Linked DNA regions of Mytilus edulis. The protein of the gene in region 2 purifies or fractionates together with the protein of the main gene of each other region. This does not show direct contact. Links are inferred from orthologs where the notes say so. Each region holds a gene or a part of one and is shown on either strand. Other genes may lie near its edges. The genes, in order: hsp90 co-chaperone Cdc37-like and dual specificity mitogen-activated protein kinase kinase 5-like.

Evidence for each region.
Region 1: the proteins of dual specificity mitogen-activated protein kinase kinase 5-like (region 2) and hsp90 co-chaperone Cdc37-like purify together in Homo sapiens (affinity purification with mass spectrometry; 3 studies listed by BioGRID and IntAct, with this or other methods). This does not show direct contact. The link is inferred for Mytilus edulis from reciprocal best matches to the Homo sapiens genes MAP2K5 and CDC37.

The regions. Positions count from the first base shown.
Region 1 is NC_092353.1:79,345,581-79,357,022, forward strand, and holds the start of hsp90 co-chaperone Cdc37-like, read right to left. Parts: upstream 5,662-11,442; 5' UTR 5,566-5,661; coding exon 5,527-5,565; intron 4,416-5,526; coding exon 4,282-4,415; intron 1-4,281. UniProt on the Homo sapiens protein: Co-chaperone that binds to numerous kinases and promotes their interaction with the Hsp90 complex, resulting in stabilization and promotion of their activity. Inhibits HSP90AA1 ATPase activity.
Region 2 is NC_092347.1:75,249,282-75,261,233, reverse strand, and holds the start of dual specificity mitogen-activated protein kinase kinase 5-like, read left to right. Parts: upstream 1-6,163; 5' UTR 6,164-6,213; coding exon 6,214-6,315; intron 6,316-10,054; coding exon 10,055-10,103; intron 10,104-10,663; coding exon 10,664-10,731; intron 10,732-11,952. UniProt on the Homo sapiens protein: Acts as a scaffold for the formation of a ternary MAP3K2/MAP3K3-MAP3K5-MAPK7 signaling complex.

The DNA.
Region 1 (11,442 bases), on a different chromosome or scaffold from region 2:
AACCTGGATTTTTTTCTTAGTGATATTGTACCAATATGATACATCATTTTGTTCATGGAGGAGTACCCAATTATTTAATGAAAAAAAATCGAACATCGCCCGTCCCGTATTTTCAGGGGAAAAGCTCAAAATTCCGATTTTTGACGATTTTTAGGGAAAATTGTATTTGAATTCTTCTGAAATAATAATGTATGCGAGTGACTATAAAAAAAAAAACTGAATAAAACATGTATAAATAATTGTGGTCCATTCATTAATAATAAATTTTAATTAAAAAAAACATATAAAAGTTCCTAAAAACAAGATTTTTCAATTTTTGGGTTAAAAAAACCCCGTTGCCATGGTAACAAAAAGCCAAAAATATCCCTTTTCCGGGTCCACCGTTTTTGTAAAAAACTGTGAACATAACGATTTAACTATTTGCATTATAATGAGCTAATAAAATTGATATGTCCCCGAACTTGTTTTTACGGTAATGGGCGTTATGCGTTCATCTTGTCATTTCTGTAAAACAAAACAATATTTTTTGTTTGTTGATCTGCAAAGAAGAAAGTCATCTTTAAAGCATCTTTTAACAAAGAATCGTATTGTCTTGTAACTTTTTGAGATTGACCATAATCAATGAGAGAAAACAGTGATTATTTTAGGGATGACATCAAAAGATCAATGTAGGATAAAAAAAAACTTAATTCAAATAGTTTAAGGGTGGGGGGATAAAAGTTGCTGCAAGTTTTGTTAATTTGACATGGATTTTACATATATCCATATTGGTCAATCAATTTTTTCCAAATTAAGTTTAGAGGGGAGTCAGCGAACAGACTATGTGAATTAAGTTTTTTTTATCCTGCATTGAACTTTTGATGTCGTCCCTTAACTTTTATGCCCACCTATCAGTCGGAAGGGGAGGTGTTTAGCTTTGGTCATACTTGTGTATTAATACATGTAGAAAATGTACAAGACACTGGTTTTGGAGGAAACACTTATATTCGTTCAGTGCTTCAAACTGTAATATTTTGAATCTAGAGAAAGCATTCAAATTGCCATTAAAAGTAATTAAACTTGCTTTATTGCCCATGTCTGGTAAATTGTTTGTATGGAGGAAATGGATGAAAAGACATCAGTTTTGACTAGTAAAATCATTTACAGAAGCTATGTTTATTCCATTCATTTAAATCTAGACATCTACAAATGTTATTCAAATATGATCAAATATGTATGACTTAGCAGGGGAAAACCTTGCAGGAGAAAGATAGATTACTGGTATGATTTTTCCAATTGTTACACATGATGTTCAGATTTTGGGTCTTTGACCAAACAAACAAACTACATGCTCCTATACATGATAAAAGACGAAACAGACAATGGCCTGGGAATACAAATGACAGTCGTATATGTATTGTTCATATTTAAAATAAGAAATGTAGTTATGTAGACCCGTAATATGAAAATCTTCCACATACTTTCAATAAATTAAAATCACTTCAATGAAGTTCCCAGGAGTAACGGCACTGTAGTTGAGGAGTCCCCACCGTCAATTTGTGATTTGATGTTCGCAAATGCCGTTTTACCGTCGACGCGTAGGGGAGCCAGTAAAACGGAAATTTGCAACCGTCAAATCAAAATTGATTGTGGCTACTCTTCAACCACAGTAATGTAAAATAAAACGTCAGAGCTTGGAATAAATGGGGAATGTGTCCATGGGACACTGATGATGCCCCCTTTTGTATAAACATAAAACATTATAAAGCATAACATTTGGTCGAAGCAACTAAAGGTAGAGAACAGAAACGAAAAATTCAGAAACGACCTAAAAAAATACTCAGGCCGAGCGTCGTCACTACTTCATTATGATCTCTTATATACAGTGAAAGACTAAAAACTAACAATTTCCCAGATTTTATAGTGCATACGTGCATGTGTAAAGACACATGTTACCATCCTTGTTTTTTGATAAAATTGATTCAAATTTGACTGATATACATAGACGTTTGTTTGATAAGAAGTTGTAAAATGTCCGGTGGCAAATAGATCAGGCATGTTCAGGACGACACAATACAATAGTTGTGTCTAATGCATCCATAAAAAAATACTATAACAAACATTCCGTCAGTTGTAAAAATGATTGATAAAATAACACATATTTCGAATGATGTAAACGTGTGCATATTTTGGGACAAATCTGCTAGCAGAACATTTGAAAAGACCAAGTTCAACATTCTGTCATTCGTAAAAATTATGCAATAAAAATATCTGAGAATATATATATGCATCCTCTGTAAGTAAAACATATGGCGCATTATGTAAGTTCCAACCATTTTAAACGAAATTGACTAAAAGTGTCACAAAAATGTGACGTTTTTCACTCAATCCTGCGTTTCTATAAATTGTATTTATACTTTATACACGGAAACGGCGTGCATCAGACTTACAAATTCAATGAAAGAGACAGCGTTCTTGGAGCAGAATAAACATCACTTCTATCTTGTGAAAGGAGATCGATTTCTATTGAAATGAGCTTCCCATACATTTTTTTAAGGTTTTACGTCGGGAGACAAGAGAAAGGAGACGGGAGAAAGGAGAAATGTATCCCCTGTCCGACCCCTCATAAATCTAGAACTGTAAAAGTGACGACATCAAAATTCAAATTTATTCTGTGTTTTTGTGGTAAAATGCATTGTGCATAAGTTTTATATCAGTTTGTTGATGCTAACTAACGTTAGAGAACGGAAACCAATTTTATAAAAACAGACGTACACTATGGTACGTACTTTCGGATGGACGTACAAACAGACAAGGATAAAACTTAATACCCCCTTTACTACGGCGGGGGCATCAAAATGTACAATTATGAAATAAAATAAAATTCCGCGAAACTTCATGAATGGTTTTTGCACAAAGACGTTATGGCTAAACGTGACGTCATATAAATGAAAACTAACAGACTGAAGGTCATAACGTTACTTGTACGATTCAAATTTTGATAAAATTACATCAAAACGGCGATTTTGAGGTAGGTGTTGTTTTATTTTTGATAATATTGTAGTTATCAAACATTGGTCAATCATAGCAATTCAAAATGGCGGGTCCCTCCTTTTTTCAATTATTTGAATTCGAGTTATCTCCCTGTGTACGCAAACCTTACCTTAATCAATTCCAGAAAACTTGTTGAATAATGATCTTCAAGCACGAAAACTGATAAAGAAAAAAATGTAATAACGGAGTACGAAAATATGGTGACAAATAAGGGAAACGAACTTATTGTGTAATTGGTTTTAAACACAGGTTTCGTTCCGCAAAATTATTTGCGCAAAAGACATTTCAAGGTCATAAATAATTGATTTGTCTATTTTTAGAAACGTAAACTGGAAGTTTCATTTCACAACAGAAAGTGTAATCAATTCTGTTAGTGATTAATGCATTTTATTTCATAATAAAATTATATTTTAATTATTTTTCAGGGATCATCATGCATTTGTTAAGGTCGGCGGGAATAAAAAAAAGCAGAAAAGTCAATTTTATTTTTATTCAGGAAATCGGCAAAATTGGGTCAGCGGATCCGTAAACCAACAAATTAAAAAATCCTGGCCTTCTATCTATATTAATGTTTATATCACTTATATGACAATCAGAGGTTTTCGAAAGTCAACTCGATAGTTAATTAGATGTTTAGAATAAAATACACACAAAACAAAGCTACATTTTATTGGGCTCATGCCCTGTAAATTGTTCTTTTTAGTCTTTTTATTATTTGGATAAATGTTTTACATGTACATTGTTATAAATCAAATATGCCAATTTGAGTCAAATCGGTGAACATGCATTTGACAGCTAGTGCCCCTTTTAAAGTTTTAAATTAACAATGAATATTCATCAAACATGATATTTAGGTTATATTAATCCATTTGACCCCCTCTCCCATTTTATAGTTTTTAAGATGTTAGTAAAATGCATGTGATGTATTTCTAATAATAATAATAATCACATAGTCTTTGGATCATTAATTAATAATTTTATGTACATACCCCACATCTCTTTCATAAATTTATAAAATATGCAACAAGTGAAGTATTTCTCTTTTGAACATTTAACATGCACTCTCTTAGCACAGATATATACCAGTCTGTCTAGCTAGCCTATGTTAATTTTAACATGTTTAATACTTAAAGATTTTAACAATTTTTTATGCTGCTGATGCATACAACATGATGAACATGTACAAAAGCATGCCAAAGTCTTGATTCTGTGACTTTTCAGACAGATGTGACAATAACTTAAACCTACTCTGTCAATCCTTTATTTAAATCTTCCTTTTCTTTCTTCGATTGTTCCATTCTATCAACACGTGCCTGGTGGCGCCATCTGAAGAGACTTGGAGTGTCAATGTTTGGATGAGTGTCGTCTTCATCATCAGAGATCTGAAATAATTCAAATTAACAGGTCAGGAATAACCACTAATTGGTGGATTATACCTCAATTGACGTATAATCCACCAATTGAGGTATATTGGTATAGACCAATTGATGTATAATGCAAGTTTTTTGTAATTAAATGCTAGTGTGAGATAGGAGCATGATTTTGCAACTTGCAACCTATTTCATGACCCTTATTGAGTCCTCCGAAAGTTTCAGTTTTGTCAAAGCCTGCTGCATTTCTTGAGAATGCATGTGTACAACAATTCTTTTGTTGAAACATTTGTACTATTGACCATGATTGACTTTTAATAATGAAAGTCAAGTATTAACAAAGAGCTCCATTCACCTGTGGAGTTGTACTCATGATCACATGACTGCAGACAGTAATGATGTCCATTGACAGGTGATTACAGGTAAATTTGCCAATCAAAAATTGACAAGATAACAATAGAAGAAACTTCAAATACAATTATTGATTAAATGCAATATGTTATGTCACTATACTAAACTAGAAATGTTTGACAAGTTTTCATACCATAATATGGTTTTAAGAAAACAATGCTCCATTTTGGTGGAATAATTTGTTTTGAAAAACAAAGAATTATACACCAATTGGTCTATACCATTATATGTCAATTGGTGGATTATACGTCAATTGAGGTATAATCCACCAGTTGGTGGTTATTCCTGACCTGATTAACTCACAACGTGAAACCAACATCTCATTTTTTAATGTTCTTTCTTACATCAGAAAGGCAGTATATATAATAAAACATACATAATTAAACATACTCAATCATCATGATCATGGATGTTTGGATTTCTAGAACTTTCCACTGTTTGTTTTAAGAAGTCAGAACAGTACAGTTACAAAGCATTACATATACTAGTAGGTGTAGAGTGCTTTAGCATGTAGAATATAACCAAATTAACAAAAAAATATTGTTAAAATAATTTTATTGAATTTTGCTTTGTGTCTCTTTCGGTCGTTTCTGTTTTGGCCATGCCCGGCATACTTTTGAGCCACTAAAAAGATGAAATTTATGTCTGTTTGTTTATTTGAGATATAATTTCTAATTTTTCAAGTATATCATATAAATATTTACAATGTTACCTCAATGTGATCCCACTTGCTATAGTTAATTGTTGACATTTTGGTAATCTGGCCTTCACTTTGTCATTTTTTTCAGCGTAAATTAAAACCGGAAGCTTTTGTTGAGTATGGCGATTCTATTAGCAAATATTATCGGACTGGATATAAGTAAATTGCGGATTTATTTCAATAAATGGTTTCTTTATTTATTAAAGCCCCTGAGTGTAGTAAAGGCTCCTTTAAGCTAGGACGAGATAGGAAGATTGTTAGCCTCGGGAGACTGTCAAGCGGTACTCCGACATTTAAAAAATAACAAGTTACTTTTTGGAAAGTTTTATAAAAAAGTTATGTGAACTCTAATGTTACTATTTATGATAACGTTTCTACTTCAATTTTTACTGTAATCAAAAGTATACAAGTAAATATGAACCAACTTATTTATAAGAGGGTGGTAAAGGGGGGCCCTCAACACGGAAACACGTGAAATAAAAATGGCAAAAACGTTGCACGGAAAATAAAAATCGGAAAAAACGAAGCACGAGAAATAAAATAGTAAATATTAATGACTCATTAATGTAAAAAGTAAAATAATTTATTAATCAGCCGTTCTTGGAGATCATCTAGCCATTATATATGATGGACATGATGACCCTACAGTCACATTTTAGCGTCCGCTAGTCGCAACTGATTTGAAAGAAAAATATTATTCATAATAGATCATAATAATTAATTATAGCAATTTTAAATATTCTGCATGGGAACACATAATTTAAATTCCAGACTGACCGGGGCTTTGAATTTAATCCCGGCCGTACTCTTAATCAATTGCAGGACAAGCACGAGAAATTAAGAGTACCGACACGAAACACGGAAAATAAATAAAGGAGAACACGAGGCACGCACGTCGAGCCAAACACGAGAAAACGAGAAATAAAACTTTAAAACACGAAAACACGTGAATTAAAAAGGCGGAAAACGTTGCACGAAAATAACCCTTTACCACTCTCTTATAGCAAGAGTGCACACCCTGAAATGTCTCGCCTTCTTTACTAACCATTGGTATTATGTTGATAGTCGTAAATAAAAAGCTTTACTACAAAAGAGGGACGAAAGATACCAGAGGGGCAGTCAAACTCATAGCCATGATTGAAAATAAACTCACAACGCCATGGCTAAAAAATAATAGAATAAACAGACAAACATAAAAATAACGGTACAGAAGACACAACATAGAAAAATAAAGACTAAGCAACACGAACCCCACCAATAACTGGGGGTGATATTGTTGCTCCGGCCCCCGGGAATGGTAAGCAGATCCTGCTCCTATGGAAACGTATATTAGTCACCAGTTGATCAGTTGTCAACACAACTTGACGACAAAAATAAGAGGGAAAGTTGCATTGTTACTGAACTTGTACACTTAAACAAGTTTACTTGTTTAATTAATAATTAAACTTGTAGACTTACTACAAGTTGACTTGTTGAGTTCTTCTGAACAAGACCACAGACCAAAAAGTGTACATAATATTATTGTGTCCTAGTAAACTTTGTCGTTTGTACACTTGCTAAATTGAACGTTTCTTTCTTGCTTTAGAAAAGTATACTTTCCGAGTTAATTGCGGTCACTTGTCGTGTTGTTTCTCGCCTTTCTTACATAGTATAAGTTCATTTGTATTGTTTTTATGAATAAGTCAACTTCACACAAGTGAACTTGTTAAGCAAATATCGTTGGTCTACAAGTGCAAAGTAAACATAATTTTCATATTGCGCGCGAAATTATAGCGAGAAGATCTCTGAGCAAGAATGGATGCAAAAATGGAGACCGACTGTAACAGTGATGAGGTAATTAAATAACTACAGTTTTTAACAGGCCTGTGACTAATAAAGTTACAAAAAGAAGCATTCAATACTTATAATTACATTTTTTAGCTATGATCATGAAAACACGAATTTTATAAATTTTGTATATTATTCAACTGTGTACTTTATTGTGGGACCACGTGCTATCATGAATGCAAAGTTTTATTGAGTGATGCAATTGTTTACGGAATAACAAGTGATGTGCCGTTAGCCAATCAAAATAAAGTATTATAATGAAACATACATCTAATGTAATTATTAAATAATGATTAGCAGTTTAGGAGAAGTTGTTCATACAAAATGAGTATCCCAATTATATGGCAATGGTAAAAATCCATGTTTTTGAAATAAAAACTAAAAAAAATAACCTTGAACAAAAACAAAATAGGAGGTGCATGATAGCATTATATCATAAAAAATCTTGAGAAAGTTTCATTAAATTATAATAAGTGATTTAGGAGGAGTTGGTGATACAACATGGATACCCCAAGGTTTTGTCAATTGAAAAGTCCATGTTTTTTAAATGGAAATCCAAAAAATGATTTTAAACAAAAACAAAATAGGTGCACAATTGCATTATATCATAAAAAAATCTGGGAAAGTTTCATTAAATTATAATCCGTGGTTTAGAAGGATACAACATGGATGCCCCTTTTTCATGGCAATAGCTAAGTCCCATGTTTTTTCAAATAGAAACTCCAAAAATGATTTTCACAAAAACAAAATAGGAGGTGCACAATGGCATTTCGTTCTGACAAGTGGTTAAGGAGGAGTAGGGGATATAAAATGAAACATAGTGTGCAGGACGGACAGAGGGAAGGACGGACTTTCCCATCACTACATACCTCCACTTTAAAAAGCGGGGTATAAAAATTAAAATGGGGAATGTGTTAACAATTTGCAAGGCTTCAGCTTAACAATTACATGATCATGCAGTTCTTTGTATTTGTATTCATATCTAGTATATTAATGTTTTAATATTGGGGTTCATGACAAATATATGCCAAGCAAGTGTAACAGAAACACATTTTCTTGCTTCTTCAGATATATGCATACATTTATAAAGCCTGTTTAAAAAAATGGGTGAAAAAAAATCTTGCATTAGTTTTGTGTAATCAACTCTATAGTTTTCAACCTAGGTCTGTAAAACTTTACAGGAAGGTAAGCTAACACACATGTTTAAGTTCTGAACAGGCTATTTTGGAATTGTTTGAAGAGATATATCGGGTTTTTTTTTCAAATTTGGAAGCATAGTTATTTTCCAGTAAAAAATATAAACAGTGTATTTTTTTGTAATAATCTCCTGATCACACAGTTTTCAACTACGATCCTAATTCAAAAATCACTAAACTAACCTGGGCATTTTAGACTGACCAATTTTTATTTTTTTCTTCCATTAAAAGCTTACTAACAACTAAAAATTCTATCGATTATCTTTGTTAAAATAAAAAATCTGACAATCAGACACAATTTTTTTACCTTAGTTTTAGGTATATCAGCTACCAATTTTATGCCAAACTGTTAATTAATGTAATATTATAATTTCTTGTCTTTTAGCATGATGATAATTCACAAAGGTGTACAGTGTGTGTGGATCGACCAAAAACTGCAGTTATAATACCATGTGGTTATACATTTTGTATGGCATGTGCTACACAGATTGAGGCATTAGACCAGCCTTGTCCGGTATGCAGAACAGCCATTCAAGATGTAAATCAGTGTTTTCCTTAAAAGAGGATTATAGACATAATGAACATGTATGATGATATGAGATTTGGTTTTTGTATTTTTTTCTTGGTAGTATAAATGATGGCTGTGAAGAAGTTCTGTCATTTTTGGATAACTTTTGTTCAGACAGTTTGCACCAATTCATAGTTAAAGGTCATGAAAAGGTTGACAGTAGCTCTTCCTTCATTATGTAAATGATTAAAAATGCTTCATCATTTCGTGGAGTCTTTATTTATTTAAGTTTCTGGCCTAATATATTTATCTTTGCAGTAGATGTAGATTTGAGTTACAGCCAAAAAAATTGTAATTATAATGTAGGTGATGATGGCTTGAAATATTGGTATCATAGAAACTGACTCCTGCAAATGTATTAAAAAACTTGGGTGTTTTACTAGTAAGCCAAAAATAATATTGAAATATCAGGCAAACAAGAAATCTTTTAATTACAAACAAAAAGGAAATAATTTTGTCCTCACAAAATGTCTGAGATATGTAACTTGGCAGCAATGTCAAAAGTTCTCTTTTTCAATATAAGCATTATGTTGTCGATTGGAAAAGTGAGCTTTAATTGATTTAAAAAGCAGGGTAAGTTCATTAAAACCGCAGAACTGTTTTACAGATAGCATTTGTTTCCCAGAGATGGATTTTGATTATGTATTGTGGTTTAATCTTAATTGTATCTTTTAGATATATGGTTCTGTATTTTTTGTAAATGAATCTGACAATTAATGATCAGGTTTTATAAGATAACAATTAACAATTTCCTTTTTTAGCTCACCTTTCCTAAAAGGAAATGCGAGCTTTTCTCATCACTTGGCGTCCGTCGTCGTCGCCGTCGTCTGTCGTCGTTAACAATTTTTCAAACATCTTCTCCTCTGAAATTACTGAATGGATTTGGATGAAACTTAGCATGAATGTTCCTTAGATTATCCTGCACAAAGTTTGTGCTTTGATTTTTGATCCGTCAAAAAACATGGCCACCGTTACTTAAAATAGAACATAGGGGTCAAATGCAGTTTTTGGCTTATATCTCAAAAACGAAAGCATTTAGAGCAAATCTGACATGGGGGGGGGGGGGTAAAATGTTCATTAGGTCAAGATCTATCAGCCCTGAAATTTTCAGATAAATCAAACAACCCATTGTTGGGTTGCTGCCACTTAATTGGTAATTTTAAGGAAATTTTGCAGTTTTTGGTCATTATCTTGAATATTATTATAGATAAAGATAAATTGTAAACAGCAAAAATGATCAGCAAAGTAAGATCTACAAATAAGTCAATTTGACCAAAATTGTCAATTGACCCCTTAAGGAGTTATTGCCCTTTAAAGTCTTTTTTTCACAATTTGTTCATCATGTTGACTTACTTTTAAAAATCTTCTCCTTTGAAACTGCTGTATCAATTTCAGCCAAACTTAGGCTAAATGAGTTTCAGAGTATCTAGAATAAATTTTATATTTTATTTTCTTATATGTCAAATAACATAGCTCCTATGGCTAAAATGGAACATAGGAGAAAATATATTTTTTTTTGCTTTTGAAGAAAATAGGATAATTCAAAGAACATTTAAGTAAATTGAAAAGCCAAAATAATCATTGATGGGAGATTTAACCAAAAAAATTAAGGTGAGCGATTCAGGCTCTTGAGAGCCTCTTGTTTATATATACTATAGCATTTTTTTTGGTTTGTTATGCTAAAGATTTGGAAAACATAAGGAACTATTTTGACATATGTAAACTAGATAACACAAAACAGTTTTAAGTTCTTATTTTCCCTATTTTTGCAAGGACAAATGGTACAGAAATTATCAAGCTCAATTTATTTATCTCAAACTAGAAATGGCCATTAATGTGCAATTTAAGCTATATTTCTGTTTAATTTTATTGTATGATTGTAAAAAATCTCCGCTAAAACCTCAAGATTGATTTGTATTAATGTTCTTTAGAATGTTTTAAAATATTTTCTGCGGTATTCTGCACAGAACTTATTTGGTGAAAAAACAAGGATGTCATTGTAAAAAAGATCATAATTATGTGTAATGGTAAATTGTAGTTTTTAGCAATCAAATTAAAATCTATGAGATATATTGGAGAAAAAATGACCAATGACTCAACAAAAAGCTGCCCTTTAATTTTTAATAATAATTTGAGACCTTTCTGGGAGTTTTGGCTGTTTATTTATTACTGATATCTATTTATATGATATCAACAGTATAACAGCATACGTAATTAATTAATTGACATATGTTCAGTTAAAATTTAAATTTGTATGATTATTCCTGAAGTATTTCTTTTATAACATTTTATGACTTATAAGTTATATTTTAATTGCAATCATAACTTGCATTGTTA
Region 2 (11,952 bases):
GACAGGAGTTTTGAGTAAAAAAAAAAGGCAGGATGAGACACTTGCAAAAAAAAAAGTCAGGACGACAATTTAGAATCATTTAGGTAAAAAAAAGTCAGGATAAACTAAAAAAAAAAGGCAGGACTGAACAGAGTGAAAAATAAAAAGGCAGGACAGAGATTATAGCTAAATAAAAAATGCAGGACAACATTTTTCATCCTAGCCCCCCCCCCCATAAAATTCAAATGGTAGCTCCCTAAGAAAAAATAACAGACAATGAAAACAAGAATGACACATACAGCTTTAAAGATCAGGCAACATGATTATAACAATGTATCAAAACTAACTGTTTTTCTAAAATTGTTTTTTTTTTTTTTTTTAAGCAGGCCACATTTAGGCAAAGCTGTCCTTTCTTCATACAACTACGAACGGCAAGTGTCAGATGGGAATAAGCTGAGGATAACAAATATGTGTTTAGAACATCATCATGTTAAGATGCATTATTATAAAGTTATAAATTATTTGATATAATGAACATCTTCAATATTTTATTTTTTATTTGCACTGTATTTTTAATGCTTGATAAAATGATTTAAAATTATTATTAAGCTTTTGTAATCTCTACTAATCACATCAATGAACAGTTTTATTCAGTGCCGGCAAAATATCAATTTGCTATTTTGCCAGTGCTGGTCAAATAGCAAATTTGCTATTTAGCCGGTGCCGGTCAAATAGCCACTGCCATATCTTTTTTTAACAAGAGTGCACAAACTAAAATTTCTAGCCTTTTACTAACCATTGATAGTATGTTGATAGTCCTAAATATAAAGCTTTATTACAACTATCACTTGACAAGATCCAAGAAAATCTTTCTTGGTTTTTGATGGGCATTTTTTTCCTTTCTGCAGAAGGTGTAAAAATAAACAAACACCTGAATTACTTTGATACTGTCCACTCACTGACTCGGATAAACTCTTTAGTCACCTATAGTTATGAAGATACCTCTTGTCCAAGTCAATTAAGGACAATCAAAACAATACAAACCGGTTTTTACCTGAGGGGCTCATCTCAAAGTTGTACCAAGACCAAGGATTTGTATAGTAAGATCTAACTATTCAAATCCTTGCCACAACTTAGTTAATTTTCACACCTTATGCATGAAGAAAAAAAAGCCCAACAAAATCAAAAAGAGATTTTATCTTTCTGAAACACAAAATGCATTAAACTTTTAATATATCTAGTGGACGCTAGGCATTAAAACATTTCCAACTTCATATGCAAGTCTGTACTCGGAGTAGTTTTTGACATGTAAATACAGCCATATTTGTCCGTTTGTTATGATGAACCTTAAATATCGTCAAAAGAACTACTTAACATTCCGTTGAGAAAAAAACATTATACAATATATATTGTCCTTGAAAGACGAAAGTTTCTTAAAATACAATTATACGTGGACAACTTTTTCTGGGAATTTTTTGTCCGGCGAACAATATTTAATACAGCGACACGGGTCATTTTTCAATGTTGCATAAACAAAGAAAATTATGATCAATTATATAGCAAATAGTTAAAAGATTACAATTTTAACAACTGGTTATTTGCACTTATCAAAGAATTACCTAAATTCAAAATATTTCATTTGCACCATTTCCAATTTGTATATACCCCTTTTGTCATTGAATCTTTTCATCAAGTTGTATCTTTTACATTATATTTTTTTGGCAAACGTGGATATATTAACACAAAAAGAATTTTGTAGAACCATGGAAGTTATTTAAGTTTGACAATAATTTTACAATTTCTGTATTTGTTTTACTTACTCAAACAAGTCTGATCTTACTGCGACGAAGATGTTTAGAATCGCACGGACTTAGAAAAGGCGCGAAATCAAGTGCACCTAAGTAAGCCAATCAAAACGGTTCAATGTTTGACAGGCACGGTTTCAAATTAACTGTAAATCTATGGGAGCAACCATTTAACTTCAGGGGGTATTTTTTATGAGTCCCAAATCTTTTTTACGTGCAAAGCGCAAACATTTTTATTTAGTTTTTCGACGGCACGCTTCCAATCAATTATATTTTTCAAAAGTTTAAAACACTATTTATAAGGTAACGGAAAAATCTGAATTCAGAATATTTTTTTAATTAAGTACCCGAAAACAAGTTTTGCAATAGTATTATTGTATTCGTGAAATATGCGAAATTATCAAGTTTCGAAACACTTTTATTACTGTATACATAAAGTAGTAAGTTATTCAGAGTTGGACGTCACTGTTGTAAGCCAGATGAAACTCTATGTTTGCTCTCTCCTTGTGCCTTTATTTGGTGAATAAAGATATTTTATTCTGTGCTATAGTTCTAAAAAATAGACATTACTACTTGAGGTATTATTTGCTTTCGTAAGAATTCAGTATGAGCAATTATAGGCGTTTGGTGCCAAATTTGTAAAATTGCACCTAAAAAAATCCGGAACAGACTGTCAATGCAAACATACAGCTTTATTTATGATGACAATTTAAGGTTACTAATAACTGATTGATTGTTCAATGTTTAATATGCATTCATTTTCCGGTTTAAAATCGACCATATTTTAACTGGGAAGAGCACTTCGGACCTTTTGTGACAGGGATGAGCATCTGATACATCCAGTACCCCTACTTTCTTTTATTTATTTAGAAAATAAAGAAAATAAAAGTCTGTCAATATAAAATCTTCATTATCAACTAATATTATGGAATTAAATTTACATGTATTATTCTCTACTCTTTGGTGGGGTTGTTGTTTCAATCATTGGCACATTTCAGTATTAATGTCAAAAGAAGGGGGGGGGGGATTTTGATATCTTAGTTAAAAAAAAATTGACACATCTGAAATAATTTTGATCTTTCAAAAGTTTCCATTTTCAGTAATTAGATAACTTAGTTAAAATGTTGATAGAGATGGCCAATTGATGTACCTATTGTTTAAGTATCAGAGCTATTTTTCTATGTGTACAATATTTTTGGAAATTTCTGTTAACTATATATATGAACCATTACACCTTATCTACTTTATGCAAGCAGTTATTTGTCAGCTCACTAAATGGTATAATAGTATCAACTTTTTGCCGAATTAATGATTCATATATGTTAACATAAAAAATAAAGAAATGTGGTATAATTCCAATGAGACAGCTACCCACTAGGGACCAGAGACGAGAGTGTAAACAACTATAGGTAAAAGACGTACTGTGACCTATAGTTGTTATTTTCTGTGCCAATTGGTCTCTTGTAGGGATATGTCCCATGAGCAATCATACCACATCTTCTTTTTTATATAGGGAACTGTACAGTCTTTACAATGAGTAAAACCAATGCTGTATGGTAAACTACCGTGAGCCTCGAGATAACAAAATTTGAAATACTTCAAACGAAAAACACAACGCCCTATATTATCATAAAACAATTGGCACACGGCAAACAAATAAGAAAGACAGAAATTAACAACAGCAAATGACAGGCTCCTGACTTGGGACAGGGACAAAAGGAATAACAGGTTTGTGAAGGCTTAACCCTCTCTAAAACTGGTACAGTGGTGACACAGCACAATATGAACAAACTATGAAATTTTGTTGGAAAAAGGCTTTACTCATCAGATTGGCATTAATGTCGTTAATCACACACACAAAATAATTAAAAGGGAAAATACTCAAAATTACTAAAGCTAGTTCAAAACCAATTTCAATTAATGGATAACTTATGTTCTCTGCTGTCGATATGTAAGGTGATTCGTTTGACCTTCTTCTGTTTCTCTCTCAAGCCCAGCAATCAATCGCCAAATCTCTTTTGCCGTAAAAAATGAATTCGAAGAAATGAACAGTTCAAGTAATCTTATACTATTATTGTTTTTACTGATTTCACCATTATTATACATTGATTCCTGTACTATAGCTATTTTATTTATATTATACATATGCTTATATAACTGAATTATGATGGATCATTGTCATTCCTCTCCCCCGAGAGACCTTTAAGGCTTAGTACACATATAACACTGCTGTATTACATTGCATACTTATATTATGTATATGCATGTACGCATGATATATGCATTTGTAGTCTTTTTAAGGCCAGTCAGGTCATAAAGAAAAGATAAACTGTTGTAATGACTTTAAGATCGAGAAATTGAAAACAGCTGGCAAAAGTCCGCACATATAATTACTTTAAATATACTTTCAAATATGAGTAATATGAGTATTTCAAATATAAAAAAGACAGGGGAAAAAAATTAAGTTAGAGTTAAGAAATTGAGTTGTCCCTCTTTGTACTGGTTATGGACCTGTTAACCTCTGTGTATTAATTCTGAAAAAAAAAAATAGTTTTCAATGTTTGTTATTAATCTAATCAGTATATATATTAGGTTGCATGTGATGTATGTCTGTATATTGTATGATTTATTATTTTTATTTATTGATTTATATTCTCTAAATAAGAAAAACAGAATGTTGATTTGATTTCTGATTTGATTTAACATGGTCCGGCCAATCAAGTTATTATAAGCGGTGACTCAGTCACCCTTTAAGCCTGCCAGTAATATATGGGAAGACTTATGATATTTTAAGGTAGCATTAAACCAACCGGGAGACAATGTGGTTTTATAGACATCTAAATGATCCTAAATGACTGTATCAATGAATATGACAATAAACCAACGCAGGCGTCCCACTCATGGCTTGAAGGAATATATATGCGATGGGGTTGTACGCGAATTGCGTAATCCTCTCTAAATCTTAATTGTGGTATTGCATGATTATCTTTAAAGTATACTCGCCTCTAAAAATTTATATACCTACAACCTCTTACATTATTAGTACCGGCTTCTTTAGAAACTACATTTAAGTCTTGAATAACCGCATAGTCATGACAGAACTCTCTCTTACTTTTAACAGTTTATTATTTAATCCTTTTTGCCGATAAGTTGTGGATATATATATATATATATATATATTGCACATGTATTTTATTAACAATATATAAAAATAGTTCTCCATTTTGAACACTCAAAAAGAATAAAGTTAAGGACCGATGCCTTCTATTGATCTTATAACTATTTGGACCACGAAAACTGTATGATCTACACAAAAACATACGTGGAATTTATCCCAGAGGATTTGTATAGTAAGACTGGTATCAACGAGGACTATGAGAGAATCTTATCGTGTCTTCTTCGTAACAGTTTACTAGTGATATTGATCTCTGTACTTCCTACTGATTTCAGTAAAGCAACATTATAGACCGCTCGGAAACAGCCTGGCAGCATGAACTCTAATGCTCATCTGTCGTGAATGTTGTTTCTACTCCTCTTGTTGACACCCTACGTATCAGTTACTTCAGAATGATAACATACAACGCTGAAAATTCATAAGACAAAATGATTTTTTTTATTGGTTTCAAATCAAGAATTATTACAAAAATTTCACAATAATTTACATATACATATACACACATATCCATATAGATTTGTTAACATTTATATATGTATATACATATACCATGGACTCTCCATGATTAGAAATGCATTGCTATAATATTTGTAAAATCTAGTCTCTGCTTAGGAGTTGCGTACCACAAAATTATGTCATTTATTATTCAACTATGTTATACAATGCAGCCATATGTATGTCACTGAATAAATCTACCACTTGACCGAATGGAAAGTTCAAAATAAAAATCATGGTGAAACACAATCTATTCTCCATATCAGCTGGGACTAGTATAATAGTTCCAGATATATATAAGAGTATAACAAAATCGGAGTTCTCAGTATGTTTTATAATTAGATTCAGGGGTGGGGGTTGGCAAAAACATTTTTTCATGACAAATGACAGACATGACATGTTTAGAAACAACACATATAGGAGGTACATTGAGCCTTTAAATGCAAGATTTTATAATTATTAATAATAATACATAAAATTAGCAAATGTAATGTCTTTTCGCGGACAGACTTGTGAACAGTCTGGATTTAAACATTTTATTCTGATTAAAAATAATTTTCAACCTTGTACTATGTGATATTGCTCTTTTTAAATATTTTTATTAATTTAGAAGCGTTATTTTAAACGTGAAAAAAAACACGAAATAAAACAAAAGGATAACATCGGCTCTCTCGAAACTGTAGGTCACAATTTATAACGTTTCAACTTGTTGCTTATCTCCCTTTAAAAGTGAAATTTTTTGGGAAGTAAACAGAGAAAATGGCTTTGCAGCCAACATTTACTGTTCGAATTCGTACAGAACAAGAACAAGATATGGATTGGATGGTGCAACCTGATCAGATCACATTTAATCAGGCATTAGTGAGAAAATCAATCTTACAAAAAACAACATGATGATAAATTAGGCTCTCAAACTGTAGTTATACCATTGTTTACAATGCTTTTCTTTGTAAATATCACACTGATTTACCAAATAACACTTTGAATTTTGAGAATCTATATATAAATATATATCTTTTTATTTGTTGATGAGAATAACGGTATACATGTGTATATACAATGATATAGAGAAAAAAATATTTTATATCACAAGCTGAAGCAAGTGAAGGATGCAAATATTGTACAAGGACATTTAAGGTGTGCTAATTTAACTATAATGACATCCAACAATAAATATTTTGATATATGTCAATAGTTTGATAATGACAACAACTGAGAAATATTTTAACCAGTAATACATATAATTGCAGAGAAACTGACATGACCTCCCTTTCCAAATATTACACCTAATAAATTCTGAGTTTTTGAGGTCTTAAAAATCTATTTTATTTCTTAATGTGTCCTGGCCTAAACTCTGCTGGAAGTTGGTAATCAAACCTCTCGTGCAGTGACACAGATCAAGACTTTTATAAAGGGGCCCAGGGAAGGGGGACTGATTGCCAATAAAGGGGCCCACTCCAGTCTCCAGTCATACGTTGTACTTCAGTTTTTCCCTACTTAATCAACCAAACTTTTCCCCATAAAAAAGAGGGGGGGTAAATATGTCTCTGTCGTGAACAACTATTGACAAGGGGGTTATATCTGAATTCAAGACATCAAGTTAAAAAGCAAAAAAGAAGGGAACTCTTTCCTAATGTCTAATATACAAGGTAATTACAGTTTTAATCTGATTTTTGATTTTGAGTCTTTAATAAATAAAAAAAAGATTGCATACATTTTTTAGTGGAAGAAGACGTCAAGTCTTCTGAAGACTTAAGGGGCCGACCATTGGCTTTGAGTCTCCGTATGCCGCATTCATTTCGTGTATTACAATTTCAAGACAACTTAGATTCCTGACACCGATTTTTACACATGATTGGGCATCTGAATCATTTAATTTGTAAATTATGATTGTAAAACAATCACTATCGTAAATATGACCCTTTTATTTATGTAAATTATTAGATTTCATCTCATCCACATGAACGTAATTTGTTTACTTGTAACAGGATGTTTTAACTGTAGATATTTGTATTACGCATGCGTGAATTTGGTATCGGTACAACTCGCCCTGTTTACAAGTTCACCCTTGAAGTTACGAATTTGCAATCCTGCAGACAAGAAGATTTTATTTTTATATAAATAAAAAAGATATATAAAGTGTTATCTTTATTCATGGGTTTCCTTTGTCATGTGAATTAGATGCCCTTCGTAACATACATGTGAACCTCCCGTTTAGGAGAAAAAACTCCTGTGTATGAAATTTTTCAGACGCCATATTTGATCATTTCTTACTACTGTACGGGTGTAATTGACACCTGTGTTAAATTTTACCTGAACATCAAAGAAGATGTATAATTATATGGCTTCACTTGACAGCTTGGGTGTCAAACATACTGGTAATCAACGATGTTTACCTCCGGCTAACTGCCGTTGTGTTATCAAAACGATGTGTATTGGGAATATTGAAATACTTTTTTGTTACTTCCCTTTGTTTTATCCTGTTTTCAGTTATTTTGCTTTTAAAAATGTAAATGGTAAAAAGACTATAAATGATTAATATTTTAATCAAATAATCATAAAAGGATGTTAATTAAATGAATTTAAATGATTTTGGACAAATAAAAAAATTAAAATTTATAAATTATTTTATTAATTTAGACCTCCTTTCAAGGATTAAATTGAAGTTTATATATTAAATTTGTTTAGTTAGAAGGCAACATACAATATTTGCAACTAGGCTAATAGTCTAGCTTCTGCTAGCTTCATGTATAATTTTTCTACCGATTTAATATATAACTAGAATTATGCAAACAGACTTAAGGAAAAGGCATGTAAGTCATGTAAGTTCATACAAATATGACACTTTTTCTAGACAATCCAGATCTTGCAAAATACATCGCTAAAAATTGTAACCTTTAATTTTGTTGTTGTGCAGTAAAAACCCATATGGGAACTTTCAAAAGTTGGCAGGTATGTAACAAGTCTTACTATTTTTATGCTCCATTTATGGGCAATATGTTTTCTAGTCTGTCCGTCCGTCCTGCTTCTGGTTATAAAGTTTATGGTCGAGGTAGTTTTTGATGAAGTTGAAATCCAATCAACTTGAAACTTAGTACACATGTGTTCCTCTTGATATGATCTTCTTAATTACTGCCAAATTAAAGATTTTACCTAATTTTCATAGTCAACTGAACATAGAAAATGATTGTACGGATGGGAAATCCATGTACTTATGACCTTTTCTTGTTTGAAGAAAAAAAATACATTTTAACGATAATGGAACAAAGCAGCCTGGGTAAGTGGGGCTGCTTTTATGGTAATTCAAGTTACCTTTTATTCACCTTCTTCCACTTCAGAGCTATCAGCTCTTTGATTAAATGCAGGGGCGGATTTGGGCGGGGCGGATATAGTTCTGGTGGCGGGCGTGCGCCCCCCCCCCCCCCCCCCTAAAATTTGCAAAGCATGGGTTGTCCGCACGTAATAAGTATCCGAAGAGATGACAAAAGCTAGCCTAATGTCGTCGCATTCAATCTGTTTTAACATTCAAACAAGTATTACTATATAAAACAGTAATTTAACAGAATTATTTAACGTGATTACTAATCAACTGACCTATTGTCTAAGTTCTATAAACATGTTACACTTCAAAGGAAGGTGTCAAAAGCGGTACTGCGTTTGATGACAAATATCATAGGCTTTCAGCAGTAAGAATAAAACAATTGTGACATTGTAGTTGCAGTTTTAATAAACAATTTCTTTGATAATCGAAGTTCAAAAACATCCCTACATCACTTTCCCACGAAGAAGGTGGAAGTGCCCTACCCGCTATTTGGGTTATTTCATCATGGCACGACCAGGAAAGCAGTCTAAGTTAGATTCTTTCTTAAGGAAAGATAAAGATTATGGTTCAAGCGAGAGTTTAGTTTGTTAATTTGACTCATTATTTAATATCTCTGTGACAATATATGATTCTCACTTGCAACATATAAAATTTGCCGAAGCATGCATAAACGAAAATAAGCACAATTTTTTAAGGATCTCATTTTGATTTTAGTGGTTAGCGGCCAATTTTTTTTTACAGAATTGAAAAGTCTAGCACGACCTCCGAAAATAGAACAAAAATAAAAACACGTATTATGAATTGACAAATAAATTGTACTAGTAATAATTTTCGTTTTCAAAATCTTACATTGGTCAGATGAAAAATCGTCATTTGCTTTGTCTCACTTTGCGTCTGTCGGTCCGCCTGTCTATCTGTCAACTCTTCACATTATGGTTAATGTAGATTGTCATTAAAATTATGAGGTTTTAGATTGAAACTTTAATTTCTCGCTCATTTTACCACAAATGTTTCTCGCCACACTTCGCTTGGCAAGATATCTATCTACATTGCACCCACTCTAGAAGAATATTTCAATAACTTTGATTATTTTAACCTCAAAAACATTTTTTATTCTGCGCCCACCCTAACGTCTAATCCTGTATCTGCCCCTGAAATGTAAGCAATATTTGGCTTTTTTGTTTTAACTTTTTGTTAGGTTCTATAGGGGATATTATATTTATATACATCAAACAATAATATATAATATGTACAACATTATCTTATTATATTTGACAGGAAGTGATATCAAGAGTGCTACCTCAAGCCACAATAACAGCATTTGAATGTATGTAAATATTTAAGTGTGTTTATTTTTTTCTGCCTATGTTATGATTAATATTAGCATCTATGATTTTGAAATTTTTAGAAAATTAAGAAGAAGTGGTAAGATTGCCAATGAGAATGCTCTCTATCAGAGATCAAAATGTACATGTTTAAATCAGGGAGCAATACAACTGTGAATCCCTTAAATTTTTAGTGGCCAGTTATTGATGAACAATATATTAATTGGGTATGAGTTATGAGAAATAAAAGAATTTCATAACATTACAACAATATTTTCAATTTTAATGTAAAATTGTGTTAAACTCAGAAATTATATGTATTGTGTTGTGTCTTCATTTCAACATATTTTTTCTAATTGTTATTAAAATTAGGTAATAAATTTGTGGACTTTAAGGTGTACATTAACTGCATTGGTTTAACAATGCTTTCTTGTTAGTAGCTATATAGTTCACCTAAATAGGTACTAGTGAACAGAAAAAGCATGTGAAAGTTGTGTAATTACATTGTATATACAGGGAGTAACAACTGAATTATGCAATAAAATGTATTATTTTTTTTCAGATGAAGATGAAGATGGGGACAGAATTACAGTAAGAAGTGATGAAGAGATGAAGTCTATGTTCCAAACCGTAGGTACATCTGATATTCTAAATTGCTTAATATTTATTTAGAAGAACTCACTGCTTATACAAAGATAGAATCAAATCAAAGAGTCAAATTATGTTGATCTTTAACTTCAGTTATTATTCTGATATTAAGAAAATGTAGATAGTAAACATACTCACCCGGATGTTTTTATAATCTATATAGAGTTAAATATAGTTCAGTGACTTAACTGATATTATACTTAGGGCTTACAATGATGTGCAATTAGGATGATAAACGATCTCTTCCTGTCCATCCATTAATTTTTTTAGCTTCTAAAGAGGTCATAGATTTGTAACAGTCACCCATATTGTCAGTGGTTTTTAGTTAGGATGCATTATATTTTAGGGGAGGGGGGATTAAAGACAGGAAATTGTATTTGTTAAAAATCATTTTGTAATGTTTGGTCTGTAAGAAGGATCTTATAAAAAAAAAGAAGATGTGGTATGATTGCCAATGAGACAACTATCCACAAAAGACCAAAATGACACAGACATTAACAACTATAGGTCACCGTACCGCCTTCAACAATGAGCAAATCCCATACCGCATAGTCAGCTATAATAGGCCCCATGAAGACAATATAAAACAATTCAAACGAGAAAACTAATGGCCTTATTTATGTAATAAAATGAACGGAAAACAAATATGTAACATATAAACAAACGACAACCAGGGGCGTAGCTACCCGGAGGCACGACAGCACGTGCATCCATGTCGTTTTCGCAACAAAAACAAAACAAAAAAAGCAGAAGAGAGATGAGTTGGTCAATCGGAATCGGAGACTGTTGGTGTCTTTTCCGTCTATCCCGGATATTAGTTTGACAACCTAGTTACAAGTGTTGATGAAGGTGGCACGGTAGTATTTCCTGGCCCATAGGGATAATGATAGCCTTTTTAGAATTTTCACCACTTTCTAACACTGCAAAAAAATCTACATTCACACTTAACTGAAGTACTTTCATTTTACTATTCAGAAATGAATTTGAATATGTATCATGACCGTTTACTTTTTTTGCTATTTTTAGAAACCTAAGGCCACTAGTAATTTTAGGTCTTTTATGGTGCAGTGAATACAAAATTCTCAAAAATTCTCAAAAATTCATTTTCATCTGTATGTAAAATTATTTCATATTTTTCTACACCTGATTCATCCCTCAGTTTGGGAAAGTATGTTCAGTTGATACTGTATTTTTTGTCCAATC